Linked DNA regions of Saccharomyces cerevisiae S288C. The protein of the gene in region 3 binds, or shares a complex with, the protein of the main gene of each other region. Each region holds a gene or a part of one and is shown on either strand. Other genes may lie near its edges. A codon is read from its position in the direction of its gene.

Region 1 (4,795 bases), on a different chromosome or scaffold from region 3:
GTCATTAATAATCATTAGGGATAAATTTAAAAGTTTTTTAAAGTATTCATTGATTGGTACCGTAGTATTGTCATTACTTTTAGAATTGGACAGAAGAAACTCAATATCATCCTGGTATTTTATTGTATCTCCCATATTTTTTAATTCGTTGTAGTGATTTGTTGAAGTTAATCCTTCTTTTTCAGCATTACTGTTGTCAGCGTTATTTAGGGACAAGGTGTTAGCTTTCTGATCTACCTCTTCTCCCATTATTTCATTTTCTTTATTTTTGTTTATTAATATTGTTCTAAATTTGCCATATTTTTTGTCTTTGGATGTGCGTATGCTATTATTCTCTATAGAGTCGTCCATCTTCATCTCATTTTCAAGCATTTTATTCAGTATATCATCGTCAGCTCTCGGTAGCTTCAATATGAATTCATTGATGTCATTGTATATTTTCCTTATTGATTCAAATTCATTGTGCATTGTAATGCTGTCTTCATCTTGTACGTCTGGTTCAATTGAAGACGTTATGTTCGCATCATGCTTTTGGTAAGTTCTTCTTCTTTTTCTCTTAGATGCCTTTGAACCATCAAGGAAATTAAAGGCACTTAACTTTTCATCTTTCATAAATGCCATTGAGGTATCACTGCTAGTGATAATTTTGACGTTTTGGTCATTCCTTTTTGAGTCCAGTTGTGAAGAGGGCTTCTCATTTGCACCATCAAATGACGACGAGCTGTCCTGAGCCTTTCTAGGCTCGTCCAATAATCCCTCTATCGGGTGGTCTGCAATACTGCTCGAAATGGTAGAACTTACATCAGGAATCACGGAGTTTACATCGTCATCACTAAATTCAACATCGGAAGAAGATGGCAAGCCTTTATTAGATCTAAAAGGAGTTCTGAGAACTGGGCCCCTCTTTCCATATGCTCTCATTTTTTCAGAAACAGGATGCTTTAGGGTAAGAAGATGGTTTCGTTTTGCGATAGTTTCTCTGCGCAGTTTTTCATTATTATAATAAAGTGAAGCTTCGTCATCAATAAAGTCGCGTAAAGCTCAGAAAGCCTCCTCAACCAAAACTTACGAAATCTATTAAAAAGGGCTGAAGTAAACATAGAAGGGAGTAAATTAGAATGGAGGTATGTATCTTGCTTTATAAAGGATTATATATCATGAAGACCAGCTTGAAAGCATTTTATCATATCTTCTGCAAATAACCTTGTTGAATCAAACGCTCTACATCAGACTGCCTTACGAAAAACTGGGAGTCTTTAATAAGGTTAAACACGCCGTATTCAGTTTGAATCTCACCAGCATCTTTGAGCACTCTAACATCAATAAATACATCGCTCGGAGGCACTAAAGAGCCGGATAAATCAATATCGACCAAGTCACCACTTTTTAAATCAGTAATTAAATCGCAGTATTCTTTCAAATATTCCTGCTCTTGATGAGAAAGGTTATTTGTGTCTTGTTGGCTAAACGTAATGCTACTCATCAAGTCCAGACCATTATTATTCCAAGCCATAGAATCTAGTATGTCTGTTCTCAACCTTTGGTATGCTAAGAGACATCTCTTGTTCCTTTCCATACATAACAAGGTAACGAAATACTGGCATTTAGCCACCTTATCATCTAGCATTCCTAGTTGCTGCTGTTCTTTAAGATATTCCGTATTTTTACGTAAATTTGAAACTTCTTTCAGAATATTTCGTATTATATCTTCATGATACATGGGTAAATTAACATCTTGATTACTTCTTGCGTACAGCTGTTTTGTTCTTTTAGCTTCTAATACTAATTTATTACCTAAATCTCCATACATGATTCTCTGTGAGCATGGCCGTTTATAAACGATTTTCCCTCACATCTATTTTTCAGCTTTCTTCGTTAGTTATTTTAAATTACAATTTTCGCGTTGTAACGACAAGAAGGTTTTGAGCAAATCTGACGTTTCGACTTTAAAGAAAACAAAAAGGTTTGATTAAAGACTAGTAACAAAGATATTTAAATTAAAGTTAAAGATCTATACTATAAATTCTAGTCATGCTTCAAGGTTTCGGCGAAAACAGCAGCTGGCTTGGTACCAGTCTTTTCAGCCTTCTTGGAACCTAGCTTTTCAGCAGCAAAGACCTTGGCGTAAGGGTTCAATCTCAACAAAACTTGCTTGTTCTTCAATGGGTTCTTCTTCAAAACGTGAGTACGCTTTTGAGTAGCTTGGCCAGCTGGTCTGATAGCAGATTGGATTTCAGAAGAGTTGATAATTCTGGTGACATCAGAAGTGGAGATGATGTGGGATGGCAAAGTGTAACCGACCTTGGAGGAGGCAACGGTTTCGGAACCCCAGACTTGGTCCAACTTGGTGAAAGCAGCTTCGGTCCAGATAACGAATCTACCCAAGTGAGCACCTGGAGCCAATTGCAACAAGTTCAAAGAAGCAACGTTGGCAGTTTCAACACCTGGAACGTTTCTCAAGGCCTTGACGATACCGTTGTCTTCAGCGTAGACAACTAATGGACCTCTTCTTTGAGTCCATCTTCTGTTTCTGTACTTACCCTTACCGGCTCTCAATTTCTTGGACTTCAAGACCTTCAACAAGTCGGAGTGAGCACCAACAGCCTTCAAAGCAGCAACAGCTTCCTTGGTCTTTTGAATAGATTCCAAGTCAGTGGAGACAACCAATGGGATTTCTGGAATCTTTTCGACTCTGTGACCTCTGGCCAAGACCAAAGAAGCAACAGCAGTAGCAGCAATAGCAGAAGCAGTGGCGTAACGCTTTTCGTTGTGGTTAACCTTAACGTTCCACTTTCTCCAGGTCTTAGTTGGAGCAAACATACGACCACCACGACACATGTTACCGAAGGCACCTTGACCGGATCTACCGGTACCACCACCACCAACTCTTGGAATACGAGCGACGGCACGACCGGTACCCCAGGATTCAGCGGAGGTTTGGTGACCAGCCTTTTCAGAAACAGCGTAAGCTTGTCTCTTGTTCTTGTTCACAGAGGTGAAAACAGTGTGGACAATGTCAGGACGGATAGGAGCGGAGAAGACAGCTGGCAATGGCAAGGCATTGGCAGTAGCTTCACCAGTCAAAGAGTGAACAGTAACTTGTGGACGGGACATTATTATTGGTATATACCCTAGTAAATGACTATGAATATGTAAGCGATTGCTGATAGGAAAGAAATATTATTTTCAATAATAATAGTAGTGTAACGTATTCATGATCTTCATGAAAACTTTTCCAGAGTACTTGAAAAAAAAAAAATGTTAAAAAAATTGCGTCTGCGCGATGCTTTCGTAAATAATTATATTTCTAACGGAATAGACAATTCATGCCTTCAGTGCAGTTCTTAGCAATATGCGCAGTTGTTTTATAATTCAGATACGCTGAGGAAAGCGCTTCTAAATTGTTATTTTCCCATTTGTTCCAATCTATCAAAACTAACGTTATCTATATTCAAAAATTCCTGTAAGATGAATACCGTTACGATAAATAAGGCAGGACTTACGGAACATGTAGGGTCCGGATAAGGGTTGCTTTATTGCGAAATGTTCTTATAGTGCAACCCTTAATAGAGTTATGAAAACTTTTCATAAAACAGAAAATTTTTATCACTCTTTTCAACCAAGCTGTCGAATGAACTATGCAGAAAAAAAGAATAATAAAAAATTACAATTTGGTAATTGGGAGAGGTCGCTGCATGCACTTCTTAAGACAAAAATAAGTTTACTCATTTTCTAAGTTGGTCAGCTGTAATCTATCGTGGTCATTTCTTGTTCTCACTTCTTTCGAATATTATTTCTGAAAAATACTGCTGCAATATAGTATATGTTGTTCAATCACAAAGCTCCAGGGTATGACTTGCCACAATAGTGATTTGCAAATATAAGCAGACATTAGTGGGCAAGTTAACCGTTTAGCAACACTATTGTTTCTACTGGATGTCTTTCCTTTGAGTAATATAGAATGACCTTCCTAAATAGAATAAGACACAGAAACTGTGGTATGGAGGCTGTTGTTTTCCTGTGTCCAATTTTTTTATTTTCTTTTGTCTAAAGAAGGGACAGGACAGGTAAGGGTTGACAGGCCAGATAATTTACCAAGTTTTGTTAATCATATGAAAGGGATATAAAAATGAAACAAAATAGAAAAAATGTAGAAACACTAAATTTGAAGTTCAATTTTGGTGACCAGTTTGAGGAGCCTCAGTTTTTTTGTCTTATTCTTTTCGTTTAGCTTGTACTTGCAACACCTTGCTTAGATCGTAATCCAATATTTTGAGTCGAAACCCAAGGGTAAAATAAACTTTTTTACTCAACAAGACTTGACTTTTGAAAACTACGAGAGTTATACACAATGTAACTATTAACATGGTAATACAAGACTTTTTTTTTGTATCTATTATAAACTATACTTATTGTTAATTATATGAATGTCAGTATAAAAGTGAAACGAGATGTACTCGTGTCTTCTTCTATAGTGTAAAATGAGAATTAAGAATTAAAGGCAGATGAATGCACAAAATGTTAAGTTATCTGAAGCCCACATTACTGCTTCTTTTTCCTTATGTTTTTAATTTTATTGAGTATAGATACGGGGCTTAGGAAGGAAGATTGTCTTACATGGAAGAGGTAATACACACAAACCATAGCAATGATATTGAAGAAAATGTAAATCCAAAATATTCCAAAATTTCTCCACAAGTAGCTATACTTAGAGCTGATATGTGTCAAATAATTATCTCCAACTTCGTAAATACAGTATGCACAATCTGACGTAGCATCAGGATTTTCGATGTAA
Region 2 (4,351 bases), on a different chromosome or scaffold from region 3:
TAAGCCTGACTATTTCCAAATTGAACAAGGTGAATCCATCAAAAAGACAGATCCTGGATCCAGCAACATATGCATTTGAGAACAAAAAGTTTAGAAGTTGGGATAGAATTATTGAATTTTATTTGAAGGATAAGAAGCCATTTATTACACCAATGAAAATTCTTAACAAAGATACAAACTTTAAAAACAACTACTTCTTTTTAGAGGAAATTATCAAACAATTGATAGAAGACGTTCAACTGTCGAGACCTTTGGCAAAAAATTTATTCGAAGATCCCCCAATAACCGATGGTTTTGTCAAACCAAAATCATACTATCATACCGATTATCTAGTATACATTGATTCCATTCTTTGTCAGGCTTCTAGCATGAGTCCGGACGTCAAGAGAGCTAAACTGGCTGCGCCGTTCTGTAAAAAGAGTTTGAGGCATTCACTAACACTAGAAACATGGAAACACTATCAGGATGCTAAGTCCGAGCAAAAACCTTTACCTGAGACGGTATTGAGTGATGTATGGAATTCCAATCCTCATTTGCTGATGTATATGGTAAACTCAATACTTAATAAAAGTAGGTCTAAACCTCATTCACAGTTCAAAAAGCAATTATATGACCAGATAAACAAATTTTTCCAAGATAACGGCCTCTCAGAGTCGACCAATCCATACGTGATGAAGAACTTCCGATTATTACAGAAACAATTACAAACCTATAAAGAGCATAAACATCGGAATTTCAACCAGCAATATTTCCAACAACAACAACAGCAGCAACAACACCAACGACATCAAGCACCCCCAGCAGCGCCTAACTACGACCCAAAAAAGGACTATTATAAAATTCTTGGAGTATCGCCTAGTGCTAGTTCGAAAGAAATAAGGAAAGCATATTTAAATTTAACCAAAAAATACCACCCAGACAAAATAAAGGCCAACCATAACGACAAACAAGAATCAATTCACGAAACTATGTCACAAATCAATGAAGCGTACGAAACATTAAGTGATGACGATAAAAGGAAGGAATACGATCTTTCCAGATCAAACCCCCGCCGCAACACTTTTCCTCAGGGGCCTAGGCAAAATAACATGTTCAAAAATCCAGGAAGTGGCTTCCCATTCGGAAATGGCTTTAAAATGAATTTTGGGCTTTGATGAAATACATTCTATGCCCATTAACTAGGATACCACAACAAGTACATATATATACATACGCATATCACTGAAAGTTCTAATTATTGCAAAGCCAGCACTTTTTTAAATATTGAATTCTTCTTCATCATTTTCAGTACCAGCGGTAAGAGATGCTGTGTGAATTTCTCGCAGTTTATCCATGATTTCAGTAATGAACGGCCTCAACTCATTGATTTCTAATAGACTTAAATTATCCAATTGTAAATGAGATTCATTCAAATACTTAAGGCCTTTTAACACTTTGATCTGCCTTATTTCCCTTAAGTCTTGTATTTTACCACGTAATTCGTGAATGGGGTCATGAAAATCATCCTTAGCTTTATTGAAAAGTATACGTGCCAAGACAAGCCAGTTCCACGGCAACTCACTAAACCTATCCGGATGAGTTTTCTCATATTGTATTTTTCTATCAAGCTCTTTCGTCGTTAACCACTGTGGTGCTACAATACTGCACTTGGATTGTTGCTTCAGTAATAGAGCGATCCAAAGAACCACTTCTGTAGAACGCATGGCTACCATATTATTTAAAGCTTTGTCATCTGTAGTAATAAGTTGCCAGCGGGTGTGGTTTCCAGTTCCTCTATCATCGCCACGAATTTTTTGGCGTGTTGTTATTCTGGGAAAAATCTTTATTGGCTCGTTTTCCACAATGAACTGTATTTCTTCTGGTGAGAAAGTCTGCTGCAAATGTGCCGGTAGTGACATGCGTCTATGAAACTAGTCTTATTTCAGATCAGCCGTTGATCCTCTCTAAGTATAAAACTCTTTTTTGTTAACCATTTCATAGTTACACTTTAGGCGACTGATTTTTCATTAAATGGAAAATATCACAAGAAATTTCACGCTGGAGAAAAAAAAGGTTAGTCATCACTGATCTTCCCATGGAGTCATAAGCACGTTCGACATAAATTGTGAAAGTTAACACATTTGAAGCTAGGACCGTCAATCTAGGACACTAGTCGGTTACTTTTATCATGTGGAGGAGAATATTCGCGCATGAACTCAAGTATGATCAACCCAATGCATCTTCAAAAAACTTGATCCTTTCAGTTCTGAATACAACCGCTACAAAACGAGAGGCTAAGGATTATCTCTCAAAATATACAAATGATAGTGGGCAGCATAATCATTGTTTGTTTTTTATCAGGGACCTGCATAAAGTCGCACCAGCGATTTTGTCCCAGTTTTCAAGTGTCATAAAGAGACTAGGAATGCTAGGTTTGCGACCTATGTTTGTAATTCCGCCGTCGCCAACTCATGTAAATATACAGGCAGAGTTACTTGACAGTATCGTTACAGAAGCAGATTTAAAGCCACTTCACCTTAAGGAGGGTCTTACTAAATCCCGCACTGGGTTATATCATTCTGTTTTTTCGCAAGAGAGTCGTTTCTTTGATATTGGAAATTCCAATTTTATACCAATTGTGAAACCTTATGTGTATAATGAAGAGACTGCTTCAGAATTCATGACAAAGGATGTTGTAAAATTTATGGATTGCCTGTGCCAAGGGAATATTCCACACATTGACAAATTCTTCATTCTAAATAATGCCGGAGGTATACCTTCGGGAGAGAGAAATGATAACGCTCATGTATTCATCAATCTTTCTCAGGAACTCGAGCATTTGTCCTCGTCATTATCTCACAATATAAGCACTCTAACCAAACGAGAGCCACGCTCCCAAAACCTGTTACACAGAATGGAGGTGTACGTTAAAAAAGATGAGATATCTTCCTTAGAATGTGAATACCATGATCATTTAGAAAACCTGTTATTGATGGACAAAGTTTTATCAAATCTAGCGGCTACAGCAACGGGACTGATTACAACTGTCAAAGCTGCCGCACTATCATCAGATAGGAAAAATCCTTTAGTATATAATTTATTGACAGACCGATCGCTAATTTCTTCTTCTTTACCAAGGTTTAAAAAAAAGGACGGCGAGATAGACTCACCAGCCAACATGTTTGATGATCACGCATGGTATGAATTGCCTTCCCAACAGGTAAATGCAGCTCCTTCTAACTCAGATGCAGTTTTAGTGACAACTGTTCTCAAAAAGGGCGTCCATATCAAAACTTATGACTATAAGACGCTGACTCAATTCAACTCAATTGGGCTTCCAAAGAAGTTTCACGTACCTGAGAAAGGAGCAAAACCCTCGAGCAATAGTCCAAAACTAGATATCAACAAATTTAAATCCATCATCGATCAGAGCTTTAAAAGATCTTTGGATTTGCATGACTACATAAAAAGGATTAATGGAAAAATAGCTACAATTATTGTGATAGGTGATTATGAAGGCATTGCAATTCTTACCTATGAAGGCTCGGAGGAAAATTCCTTTGTTTATCTCGATAAGTTCGCCGTTCTACCACACTTGAAAGGCTCGCTGGGTATATCTGATATAATCTTCAATTTGATGTTCAAAAAATTTCCTAATGAGATACTTTGGAGAAGCAGAAAAGACAATGTGGTGAACAAGTGGTATTTTCAACGTAGCGTTGCTGTGCTAGATTTGTCGATTGACTTAGACCCCGAACACTGTGATGAAAAGCAAAGCCAATTTAAACTATTTTACTACGGTAACCCTCAATACGCTAAGAGGGCACTACGTGACAAGAAACGTTTAAGAGAATTCATGAGGTCTGTCAGGGACATCAAGCCAAGTTGGGAAAATGAAAAAAATATTTCATGAAACAAAGACGCATTCTCCTCCTCCTTAACTTTCAAGTTTTCATTTTCAGTTTTTAAGGTATCTATATAAATATATATATCTTACTATGCAAAGTTGTTGATATTTCACTTTACCCTACCAAATGGAGTTAATTACTCCAAAGTGATCCCGAACGAAGTTCCACTCTTGATCCAATGTCTCCTTTCTATATCTTCTTCTAATCATCGGAACGTTGTGCTTTATCGAGGTATCTTTCGCTGTATCGTACCAATTATCTATCCCACCCACGTTCTCCTCAAAGTAAGGCGCCTTTTTAACTCCAACGCCAATCCAATGAGCCTTGTACCAACCTTCATAGCCACTAGATAGCACACTTGTTCTCGACAACTCGCACAAATCTGTTGGGTTCAGCAAGTAAATACTTGCTGCTACACTGTATTCTTCAATGAGAGGTTCTAGCGTGTATGAACTATTGTAAAG
Region 3 (3,941 bases):
GAAACTACAAGATGAGGCACAAAAGTTAATCCAGGAGCGAGAAGCCATGGCCATAAGTGAACATAATGTTAAAGATGATTCAGATCTGTCTGATAAAGACAATGAATATGACGAAGAAAAGCCAAGACAAAAAAGAAAGAGGTCAACAAAAACTAAAAATAGCGGTGAATCTAAGAGAAGGAAAGCTGCTAAAAAAACTCTTTCCGACAGCGACGAGGATGACGATGATGTGGTGAAAAAGCCTTCTCACAATAAGGGCAAAAAATCTCAACTATCGAATGAATTTATTGAAGATAGTGATGAGGAAGAAGCTCAAATGAGCGGTTCGGAACAAAATAAAAACGATGACAACGACGAAAACAATGATAATGATGATAACGACGGATTGTTCTAAGAAGAGGCGAGGGTTAGAATCAAGACTTTTAAAGAAACTTAATATTATACTGTTGCCTTTTTTTTATAGTTATTTTATATAGTGTATTTCTAAAGAAAAAGATGTGTTATTTTTTAAACATCCACCTTTTCGTGTCCTTATAAGATTCATGAGACTTTTTATATATCTCCTTCTCCATTTCTTCTAGTTTCAGTAAAAATGTGCTAGTTGCTATATTAGTGTTCGCTGAATTTTTTCCGGTCGAGTCTGCATTGAGATCAATCGATAAACTACTAGCATGATGATTAAGTTCTTGGGCACGTTGCAAAAGTAGCTCACTAACGACATTGGCCAGTTCTTTTTCGCTAAACAACATTATCCATTTTATGGCTAGACTGAAGAAATGCGAATTTATGGAATGCAAGTCCAGAGCCACCGGATCGGTCTTTATAGCGTTCATAACTTTCGTAGAAAACATATCTGGTGGCAGGAGTTCCACAAAAGGTACAGGTTCTTCATCTACCAAGGCTTCGTCACCACCCACAATTGCAAGGATTCTTGCTAACCATAGTGGCAGGCTTAGTTTAGTGTTTTTCGTTATGGGTCGTCCTGGGTTGTTTTCCAAATAACCAAGACCAGGAATATCATATTGAAATTTACAAGGAAACTCTGTCCCATCTGCTAGGACATCATCAATGTCATAGTAACCCATCCTTTCTATGCTTGCCCTTCTATTGTAAAAATATAATACCAAGAACAAAGTTGGCATCAATTCCATTGCGATTTTCACTACGCGTCGGCATTTATCTCGGAGAACCCGAAGCGATGGGTATATCATTTATAGATATAAAAGGGAAGTGACTCCAACAACTGAAAAACCGTTGTCTCCATCTACTACTTCAAAGACTTCATCAAGTAATAGTATAATCAATATGGTCTGTGATACACTGGTATATCATCCCTCCGTGACGAGATTCGTCAAATTTCTAGATGGCTCAGCTGGCAGAGAAAAGGTTCTCAGATTACTGCAGTATTTAGCAAGATTTTTAGCAGTACAGAACTCATCTCTCTTGGCCAGGCAATTACAAGCTCAATTTACCACAGTCAGAAAATTTCTGAGGTTTCTGAAGCCTTTAAACCACTTGCAGGCAGCTGCTAAATTCTACGATAACAAGTTGGCCAGCGACAACGTCGTTAGAGTCTGCAATGTTTTGAAAAACATCTTCTTTGCTGCATATTTGTCGTTAGATCAAGTCAATCTTTTGAGAATTTTGAAAGTGATTCCTGTAACCGTTCTTACCGGTAAGAAAATACCTCGCTGGTCCAATTGGTGTTGGCTGTTCGGCCTCCTAAGTGGTCTGGCTATGGATCTTCGTAAGATCCAAACATCTCATGCCCAGATTGCTGCGTTTGTCAAGGCAAAATCACAAAGCCAAGGCGATGAGCATGAGGATCACAAGAAGGTACTAGGGAAGGCATACCAAGACAGGTACACCGCGTTAAGAAGACTATTCTGGGATGCTGCAGATTCGTTCATCGTCCTCAACAACCTAGGGTACTTGTCTAGCAACGAAGAGTATGTTGCGCTATCCGGTGTTGTCACATCTATCCTTGGTATGCAAGACATGTGGAAAGCTACATAGCTTTCTTTTCATCTTTTTTTTTTATTTGGCTATTCTCCGCTTATGTTTGATTCGACCCTTCTTTATAATTTATTTCTTATGTATATGACCCAATGTTCCATGTCCATACCTGTATAAGATTCTGAGTGACAATAGTTCTTGTTATCCGCACCATTAATAACTAACTAACTATCTTTAAAGTAAAACTGGGATCGCTATAACTGCTTAGTTCTGTTACCCGCTCGTGATACCTGACGACCATTAATCATGAAGAAGTGTTAAGATGATCGACCAGCAGAGATAAAAGAATGAGAAAAGTAGCCTTCAAGAGGATTAGGAAGGAATAGTTACGGTTAATTTGCGCCTATATATTTCAGGGATGAGTGCCAATAGCCCGACAGGAAACGATCCCCATGTATTTGGTATTCCTGTGAACGCAACACCATCCAATATGGGTTCGCCAGGCAGTCCAGTTAATGTACCACCTCCTATGAACCCAGCGGTAGCAAATGTAAATCATCCTGTTATGAGGACAAACAGTAATAGTAATGCCAATGAAGGTACTAGGACTTTAACCAGGGAGCAAATACAGCAATTGCAGCAAAGACAACGATTATTACTACAGCAAAGACTACTCGAACAACAGAGAAAACAGCAAGCACTCCAAAACTATGAGGCTCAGTTTTATCAAATGCTTATGACCTTAAACAAAAGACCTAAAAGACTTTACAATTTTGTGGAAGATGCAGACTCAATTTTGAAAAAATATGAGCAATATTTACACAGTTTTGAATTTCATATTTATGAGAATAATTATAAGATTTGCGCTCCTGCAAATAGCAGGTTACAACAGCAGCAAAAGCAACCCGAGCTGACTAGTGACGGTTTAATATTAACCAAAAATAACGAAACTTTGAAAGAATTTTTAGAGTACGTCGCAAGAGGAAGGATTCCTGATGCTATTATGGAAGTCTTAAGGGACTGTAATATCCAATTTTACGAAGGAAATCTTATTTTACAGGTTTATGACCATACTAATACAGTTGATGTCACCCCCAAAGAGAACAAGCCTAATTTGAACAGCTCTTCTTCCCCTTCAAATAATAATAGCACACAGGACAATTCCAAGATTCAACAACCATCCGAACCTAATAGTGGTGTGGCAAATACAGGCGCAAACACAGCAAATAAGAAGGCATCCTTCAAACGACCTAGAGTATATCGAACATTGTTGAAGCCTAATGATTTGACGACGTATTATGACATGATGTCTTATGCAGATAATGCCAGGTTTTCTGATAGCATTTATCAACAGTTTGAATCTGAAATTTTAACACTTACCAAGAGGAACTTGTCACTAAGTGTGCCATTAAATCCATATGAGCACCGAGACATGTTGGAGGAAACAGCTTTTTCAGAACCTCATTGGGATAGTGAAAAAAAATCCTTCATTCACGAACATCGTGCTGAGTCTACGAGAGAAGGCACGAAGGGCGTTGTAGGGCATATCGAAGAACGCGATGAATTTCCGCAACATAGTTCAAATTATGAACAGTTGATGTTGATCATGAATGAACGCACAACAACGATAACCAACTCCACGTTTGCTGTTTCGTTAACCAAGAATGCGATGGAGATTGCTAGCTCCAGTTCCAACGGGGTACGTGGAGCTTCGTCCTCAACTTCGAATTCCGCATCAAATACAAGGAATAACAGTTTGGCTAATGGCAATCAAGTAGCTTTGGCAGCGGCAGCGGCTGCGGCTGCAGTGGGATCTACCATGGGTAACGATAATAATCAATTTAGCAGGCTGAAATTTATTGAACAATGGAGAATAAATAAAGAAAAAAGAAAACAGCAGGCTTTAAGTGCAAACATCAATCCAACCCCCTTCAACGCTAGAATATCGATGACAGCACCATTGACTCCACAGCAACAGCTACTTC
Region 4 (4,705 bases), on a different chromosome or scaffold from region 3:
CCCTGCAAGCACCAGCAGCGACCTCTCAAGAGCATTCTGTGATCAGTATGACTGCAGCAACCGCCGCATTCAATAAAGATTATACAAGTCAACCCAAATTGGGGAGCAAGTCAAGCACATCTGTTAGATCTGCCTCCAACAACACAGATCGCGAGGTAATTCAAAAGAAGGTTTCAAAAAATCGCGCATCTGTATCATCTCCTTCAATTTCTACTACATCACGGGGGAAAGATAATAGAAGTCGCTCTTCTGACGCCTTCTGGTCACGCTACTTGCAAAATATGGATGAACGTGTCTTGTTGATGAAGGAGGTAGCGCTTTCCACACGAAACTTAGAGGACTCACCTGTAGGTCTTGAGAACGTGGCTCTGGACTACAAGAACCCTCTTGATATCGAGCCTCCTACTGATAGTGCAGGCAAATTTTACAAGAAAATGTTTCTAATAACAAACCTAGGCAGAGCACTTGTTTTTGTCAAGAGAAGAAGTCTCAGCATGTGGGAAGAACAGGAATTTGAATTGCAATTCGAACTAGAGTTGAATGACGTTGAGAAGATACGCTTTATAAGTGATCAAGTCCTTGAAATTGACGGTTCCAGGACGATTTTCATAGGATGCAAAGAGAGAGCAGTTTTAATGAAACTATGGAAATTAATACATAATGGAATGACCGCCAAACCTAAAGTAGTATCGCCGAAGTCGGACCATAAAATGTTTGATAAGTTCATTCTTCAAAAAAGACAGAATACAAAAAAAAAGAATCAAGCTCCTCCCGTACCTCAATCGAATAGGCTAATAAATGGTTTACCGGACCGTTGCATCTTAAAGACACCCGAAGAAGGCGCACTTCACACAAAACGTCCCACTTCGTTGCAGACCCGATCGTCATCTAATTACTCAAAATTGCTGGCAAGATCGACACAAATGCGGAAAAACATGACACGGACAGATGAAAAATGAAACTGTGCTTGATAATATATATATATGCATATGTAAGACATGGTGAAGGGGAAAGTGTAATGCATAATAGTTCAAATAAGAGCAACTTTGTCGTCTCTCAGCAGATCCCTAATGACTTCATATCTCATAACGTAAATACTTCCAATAGTGAGTTCAACCTCTTCCTTTAAATCGGGTATTGTGACCGTGTAGCAAGGTTTACCGAACTCGTTTTCCTGCAATAGCGGATCTTCGTTCCATTTACCATCTGGTGGGCCGTTAACGTGTATAAAGACAAATTTGTTCCAGTCGGGCTCATCTATCATGTTTACGCTACCTTCTGTATCATTAATAGCCTGAAGTTCTTCGGGCATGTATTTCAGGATAGAATCATTGACTAGTTTCAACCAGATCAGGGAATGCGTGTCATGGTATTTGATTTCATCTTTGGATAGTAAATCTGTAAGAGAGATCAGCGAATTTTCATCTTCATTTAATTGGCGCAAATAAAGTGAGAATTTGTCAATTTTGCTTAGCCTACATCGTATGTAGCTTCTAATAACAAATTTCAATCTTTCTAACTCAGTTTCCATGCAGAGTAAAGGCAATTTAGATTCGTTAGGCATAGGCGGGTTCGCATTAGAAGCATTTTGCATATCGAGGAATCCCATTGAAATGTTTTCAATTAATTGAGATTGCATGGATATTCGATTCAATAATCTTTTCATCAACTGATGAGGATATGGTAAGAGTTCTGGCGAACACCGTTCATTTTTCCAAGACTTCATCAAGTCAGAAAAATCCTGCTGGGGAGAGACATATATCTGAGTCTTGTCATTCAAGTCTAAGGACGAACCCACTATTGTATTTGCATCTCTGTGGGTAGTGGAAGAAGAACCTTGCGTGATCTTGGTAGAGTCGACAGCAGTAGTTTCCTTATCCAGTTCTGCAAGAATATCGTCTATGTTAATGTCCATCACCGAGTCAGGTATCTTATTCTCCTTCCCAATACTAACAAATTTGGTTTTTCTTACCTATGGCTCAAATATAATGCTATTGAAATTTTCAGTACTAGTCCAAGGCGAAAAGAAAAAGAAATGAACTAGTTTTCGTGTTTTGCCGTAAACAAAGAGAAAAGGGAAAAAAGAGCATCACAGTTGGTTAATCAACCAAAGAGGAAGAAGGATTGAAACATTAAGATGGAGCGATTGAAGCAACTGGAGGAAAAAAGGAGACAATTGAAAGAGCTGCGTGAGAGGCGAAAACAAGCCAGCTTGTTCCCTGGGAGCGAGACGATGGGCCACCATCCCACAGAGGTGCACGCTAAGGCAACCATGGTCAGCGTTTCAGTGCAGACCGACATGGAGGAAGGCTCAAAGATTCAAGAGCCCCAATCTGCATATCTTCGACGTAAGGAGGTTATAACATACGACAAAGGCATTCAAACAGATCAAATTGAGGAAGAACAACTGCAAGAAAATGAAAATCACACCACTACTGATGCTGTCGCCATTGAAACTACTGCTGCCGACGAAAATAATAAAGACAAAGCTGAAAACGACCAGCCAAGGTTAGAACTAGCCAAACCTTTTCTTGTTGAAGAGGCGGCGGCAACGCTGAGCAACGCTAGTTTTGCGCGGCTGGAGACAGAGGTTTCTGCGTCAGGCCAGCAGGCGCCATCGAACATGCAACAGGATAAAGACAACCTCATGCAATGGAACATGGTCAGTGAGAATTTACAATCAGAGACAGACTGCGATTGTATCGCTCAGGAGTATGACCCAGGAAAAGGCGTCTTGGTTGTGGTTTATCTACGATTGCCGCCGGCAGACCTACAGTATGCTAGCAGCGAAGCGGCGTGGTCTGTGGTGAATGTAGTCAAGTGCGATAATGCCAGCGGACGCAACGGCCTCTTGATAGATATGGTAGAGTTCCGTGGTACGCGGATCATGACAGCCACGATCCTCCGTCGGTATCATCCGGAAAGCAATGTAATATCAATCTTGTTGGCGACCTTGACGGGCAAGATCATATTGTACGAGCTTAGATTGAAACAGAAAAAGCCAGAAACACCGGTAGTGTATGTCGTGCAGCGAAATATGGTGGCAAGACACTACTTTCAGCACCCAGTGGTGGCTGTAATTGAAACAAGCAGCGTGCAAGATCAAGAGAGAGTACTTGTGGCAGCTGATAATGGCAATATTATGGAGTTGAGCTGCCTGGACTTGACTGTTTTGCGGAAGCCACAGCAGCTCCGTCCTGTACCGCTATCACAGCTTTTATCTTTGGAGAATGATACTTGCACATATACGGAGCGATTGCAGCGGTTGGCAAAGTTTGATGAGGTAGGTATAGCTTGCATGGCGTACACGAGTGAGGACCCGCAGTACGTCTGGATCGGTGGCGAAGACGGTGGTATATACAAGGTTTTCTGGGACCAACCTGGGCCGCTGTACCTCTCTTTGGACAACAATGGGTTCCAACCTGCAGAAAACCACTCTACGAGGGTAACCGGGTTAGAGTTTCATTGGGACGATGCTCGGCGGCTAATGCTTCTATTATCATGTTCCACGGACTGGACGGTGCGGCTGTGGGACGCGCGAGCAGGGAAAGCTATCATAGGGGCGCCATTGTTGTTAGGGGGGCCCGTACTACGTGCACGCTGGCTCGAAAAAAACAATGGAGGGGAAAATAGTCGCACTCTACGGTGTCAAGTGTGGTGTGCAGATGGTCGCCTCGTTGTTGTAAATTGGGCTTTCGATGCTAAGACGTCCCTCTACACGGCCACTGTTATCTCCTAACGCCGCTTCGAGGCGGGTGAGCATAGGTTATTGCCTGATGAGTAATTTCTTAGCGAGAATTGATAAAAAAAAGCAAGGCTATTATTAATATACGTGCTATTGTGAAATTTTCATTGGCGTATATATGTGAGGTGAATGTAAATATCTCCAACAAAAAGCAGAAGGCTAAAAAAAAGGAAAGGAAAAGAAGAAAAGGCAACGTCGAAAATGTTTACACCAATTGATCAAGCTATAGAACACTTCAAGCAGAATAAGTTTGTAATTGTTATGGACGATGCCGGTCGTGAAAATGAAGGTGATCTTATTTGCGCTGCTGAAAATGTCAGCACTGAACAAATGGCCTTTCTTGTACGCCATTCCTCAGGCTACGTCTGTGCACCTATGACGAATGCCATTGCTGATAAGTTGGACCTTCCACTACTGAGAACAGGCATGAAGTTTGAATCCAATGATGACGACAGGCATGGAACTGCATACACAATAACTGTAGATGTAGCCCAAGGCACTACCACAGGTATTTCTGCTCACGACAGGTCGATGACTTGTAGGGCTCTTGCAGACTCTTCCTCTACGCCAAAATCATTTTTAAAACCAGGGCACATCTGTCCCTTGAGAGCCGCTGATGGCGGTGTTTTGCAGAGAAGAGGCCACACTGAGGCCGGTGTCGATTTGTGTAAACTAAGTGGACTAAGTCCCGTCGCTGTTATTGGCGAATTGGTTAACGATGACGAACAAGGAACTATGATGAGATTAAATGACTGCCAAGCGTTTGGTAAGAAACATGGCATTCCTTTGATCTCCATCGAAGAATTGGCCCAATATTTGAAGAAATAATCTGGTGAACATTTTCTCCATTCATTCTATCACAACAGACTCACACATATATACATGTATATATTTGTAACTTTGTATATATCTTTTGTTTTTTGACCTTTTTCTTCCTCTATGTTTTTCAGCCATACAAAA

What was found.
Region 1: the proteins of PSF3 (region 3) and PSF1 are in contact, whole or in part, in a cryo-EM structure (PDB 3JC5), measured with the Saccharomyces cerevisiae proteins. Residues at the interface, in NP_014495.2 of Saccharomyces cerevisiae: Tyr3 (codon at 1,079), Tyr4 (codon at 1,076), Asp5 (codon at 1,073), Ile6 (codon at 1,070), Asp7 (codon at 1,067), Val9 (codon at 1,061), Leu10 (codon at 1,058), Asp12 (codon at 1,052), Gly13 (codon at 1,049), Asp23 (codon at 1,019), Ile24 (codon at 1,016), Pro25 (codon at 1,013), Gly26 (codon at 1,010), Gly28 (codon at 1,004), Tyr29 (codon at 1,001), Trp49 (codon at 941), Leu50 (codon at 938), Ile53 (codon at 929), Leu54 (codon at 926), Val57 (codon at 917), Gly58 (codon at 914), Phe71 (codon at 875), Glu171 (codon at 575), Lys185 (codon at 533); in NP_010296.3 of Saccharomyces cerevisiae: Met1 (codon at 1,810), Tyr2 (codon at 1,807), Gly3 (codon at 1,804), Asn7 (codon at 1,792), Val10 (codon at 1,783), Leu11 (codon at 1,780), Ala13 (codon at 1,774), Lys14 (codon at 1,771), Lys17 (codon at 1,762), Arg22 (codon at 1,747), Lys66 (codon at 1,615), Val67 (codon at 1,612), Lys69 (codon at 1,606), Cys70 (codon at 1,603), Gln71 (codon at 1,600), Phe73 (codon at 1,594), Val74 (codon at 1,591), Leu77 (codon at 1,582), Cys78 (codon at 1,579), Arg81 (codon at 1,570), Arg84 (codon at 1,561), Cys85 (codon at 1,558), Leu87 (codon at 1,552), Ala88 (codon at 1,549), Arg91 (codon at 1,540), Leu92 (codon at 1,537).
Region 2: the proteins of PSF3 (region 3) and PSF2 are in contact, whole or in part, in a cryo-EM structure (PDB 3JC5), measured with the Saccharomyces cerevisiae proteins. Residues at the interface, in NP_014495.2 of Saccharomyces cerevisiae: Ile109 (codon at 761), Ile112 (codon at 752), Met113 (codon at 749), Glu117 (codon at 737), Lys118 (codon at 734), Ala121 (codon at 725), Ser125 (codon at 713), Leu128 (codon at 704), Leu129 (codon at 701), Ala132 (codon at 692), Gln133 (codon at 689), Leu135 (codon at 683), Asn136 (codon at 680), His137 (codon at 677), Ser140 (codon at 668), Met172 (codon at 572), Ile176 (codon at 560), Lys179 (codon at 551), Ser180 (codon at 548), Ser183 (codon at 539), Tyr184 (codon at 536), Asp186 (codon at 530), Thr187 (codon at 527), Trp190 (codon at 518), Met191 (codon at 515), Phe192 (codon at 512), Lys193 (codon at 509); in NP_012463.1 of Saccharomyces cerevisiae: Gln9 (codon at 1,874), Ser12 (codon at 1,865), Pro13 (codon at 1,862), Glu14 (codon at 1,859), Gln17 (codon at 1,850), Leu120 (codon at 1,541), Val121 (codon at 1,538), Arg124 (codon at 1,529), Arg149 (codon at 1,454), Gln153 (codon at 1,442), Leu157 (codon at 1,430), Leu160 (codon at 1,421), Lys161 (codon at 1,418), Leu163 (codon at 1,412), Leu176 (codon at 1,373), Asn179 (codon at 1,364), Glu180 (codon at 1,361), Leu181 (codon at 1,358), Pro183 (codon at 1,352), Phe184 (codon at 1,349), Glu187 (codon at 1,340), Ile188 (codon at 1,337), Lys191 (codon at 1,328), Leu192 (codon at 1,325), Glu194 (codon at 1,319), Ile195 (codon at 1,316), Ala198 (codon at 1,307), Ser199 (codon at 1,304).
Region 4: PSF3 (region 3) and SLD5 share a complex: the UniProt entries of both Saccharomyces cerevisiae proteins name them as parts of the GINS complex.

Annotation. Positions count from the first base shown.
Region 1 is NC_001136.10:470,172-474,966, reverse strand, and holds PSF1 (DNA replication protein PSF1), read right to left. Parts: upstream 1,811-4,795; coding exon 1,184-1,810; downstream 1-1,183. Other genes in the region: RAD61 (Rad61p), read right to left, coding at 1-921; 60S ribosomal protein uL4 RPL4B, read right to left, coding at 2,026-3,114; ATP-binding cassette transporter SNQ2, read right to left, coding at 4,543-4,795. UniProt on the Saccharomyces cerevisiae protein: Required for DNA replication. Functions as part of the GINS complex which plays an essential role in the initiation of DNA replication by binding to DNA replication origins and facilitating the assembly of the DNA replication machinery.
Region 2 is NC_001142.9:303,965-308,315, forward strand, and holds PSF2 (DNA replication protein PSF2), read right to left. Parts: upstream 1,899-4,351; coding exon 1,257-1,898; downstream 1-1,256. Other genes in the region: JEM1 (Jem1p), read left to right, coding at 1-1,154; ARG2 (acetyl-CoA:L-glutamate N-acetyltransferase), read left to right, coding at 2,168-3,892; YJL070C (metallo-dependent hydrolase superfamily protein), read right to left, coding at 4,007-4,351. UniProt on the Saccharomyces cerevisiae protein: Functions as part of the GINS complex which plays an essential role in the initiation of DNA replication by binding to DNA replication origins and facilitating the assembly of the DNA replication machinery.
Region 3 is NC_001147.6:46,008-49,948, reverse strand, and holds PSF3 (DNA replication protein PSF3), read right to left. Parts: upstream 1,086-3,941; coding exon 501-1,085; downstream 1-500. Other genes in the region: CTR9 (Ctr9p), read left to right, coding at 1-394; PEX11 (Pex11p), read left to right, coding at 1,306-2,016; SPT20 (Spt20p), read left to right, coding at 2,375-3,941. UniProt on the Saccharomyces cerevisiae protein: Functions as part of the GINS complex which plays an essential role in the initiation of DNA replication by binding to DNA replication origins and facilitating the assembly of the DNA replication machinery.
Region 4 is NC_001136.10:1,428,222-1,432,926, reverse strand, and holds SLD5 (DNA replication protein SLD5), read right to left. Parts: upstream 1,916-4,705; coding exon 1,031-1,915; downstream 1-1,030. Other genes in the region: serine/threonine protein kinase PKH1, read left to right, coding at 1-959; PAC11 (dynein intermediate chain), read left to right, coding at 2,138-3,739; 3,4-dihydroxy-2-butanone-4-phosphate synthase RIB3, read left to right, coding at 3,947-4,573. UniProt on the Saccharomyces cerevisiae protein: Required for DNA replication. Functions as part of the GINS complex which plays an essential role in the initiation of DNA replication by binding to DNA replication origins and facilitating the assembly of the DNA replication machinery.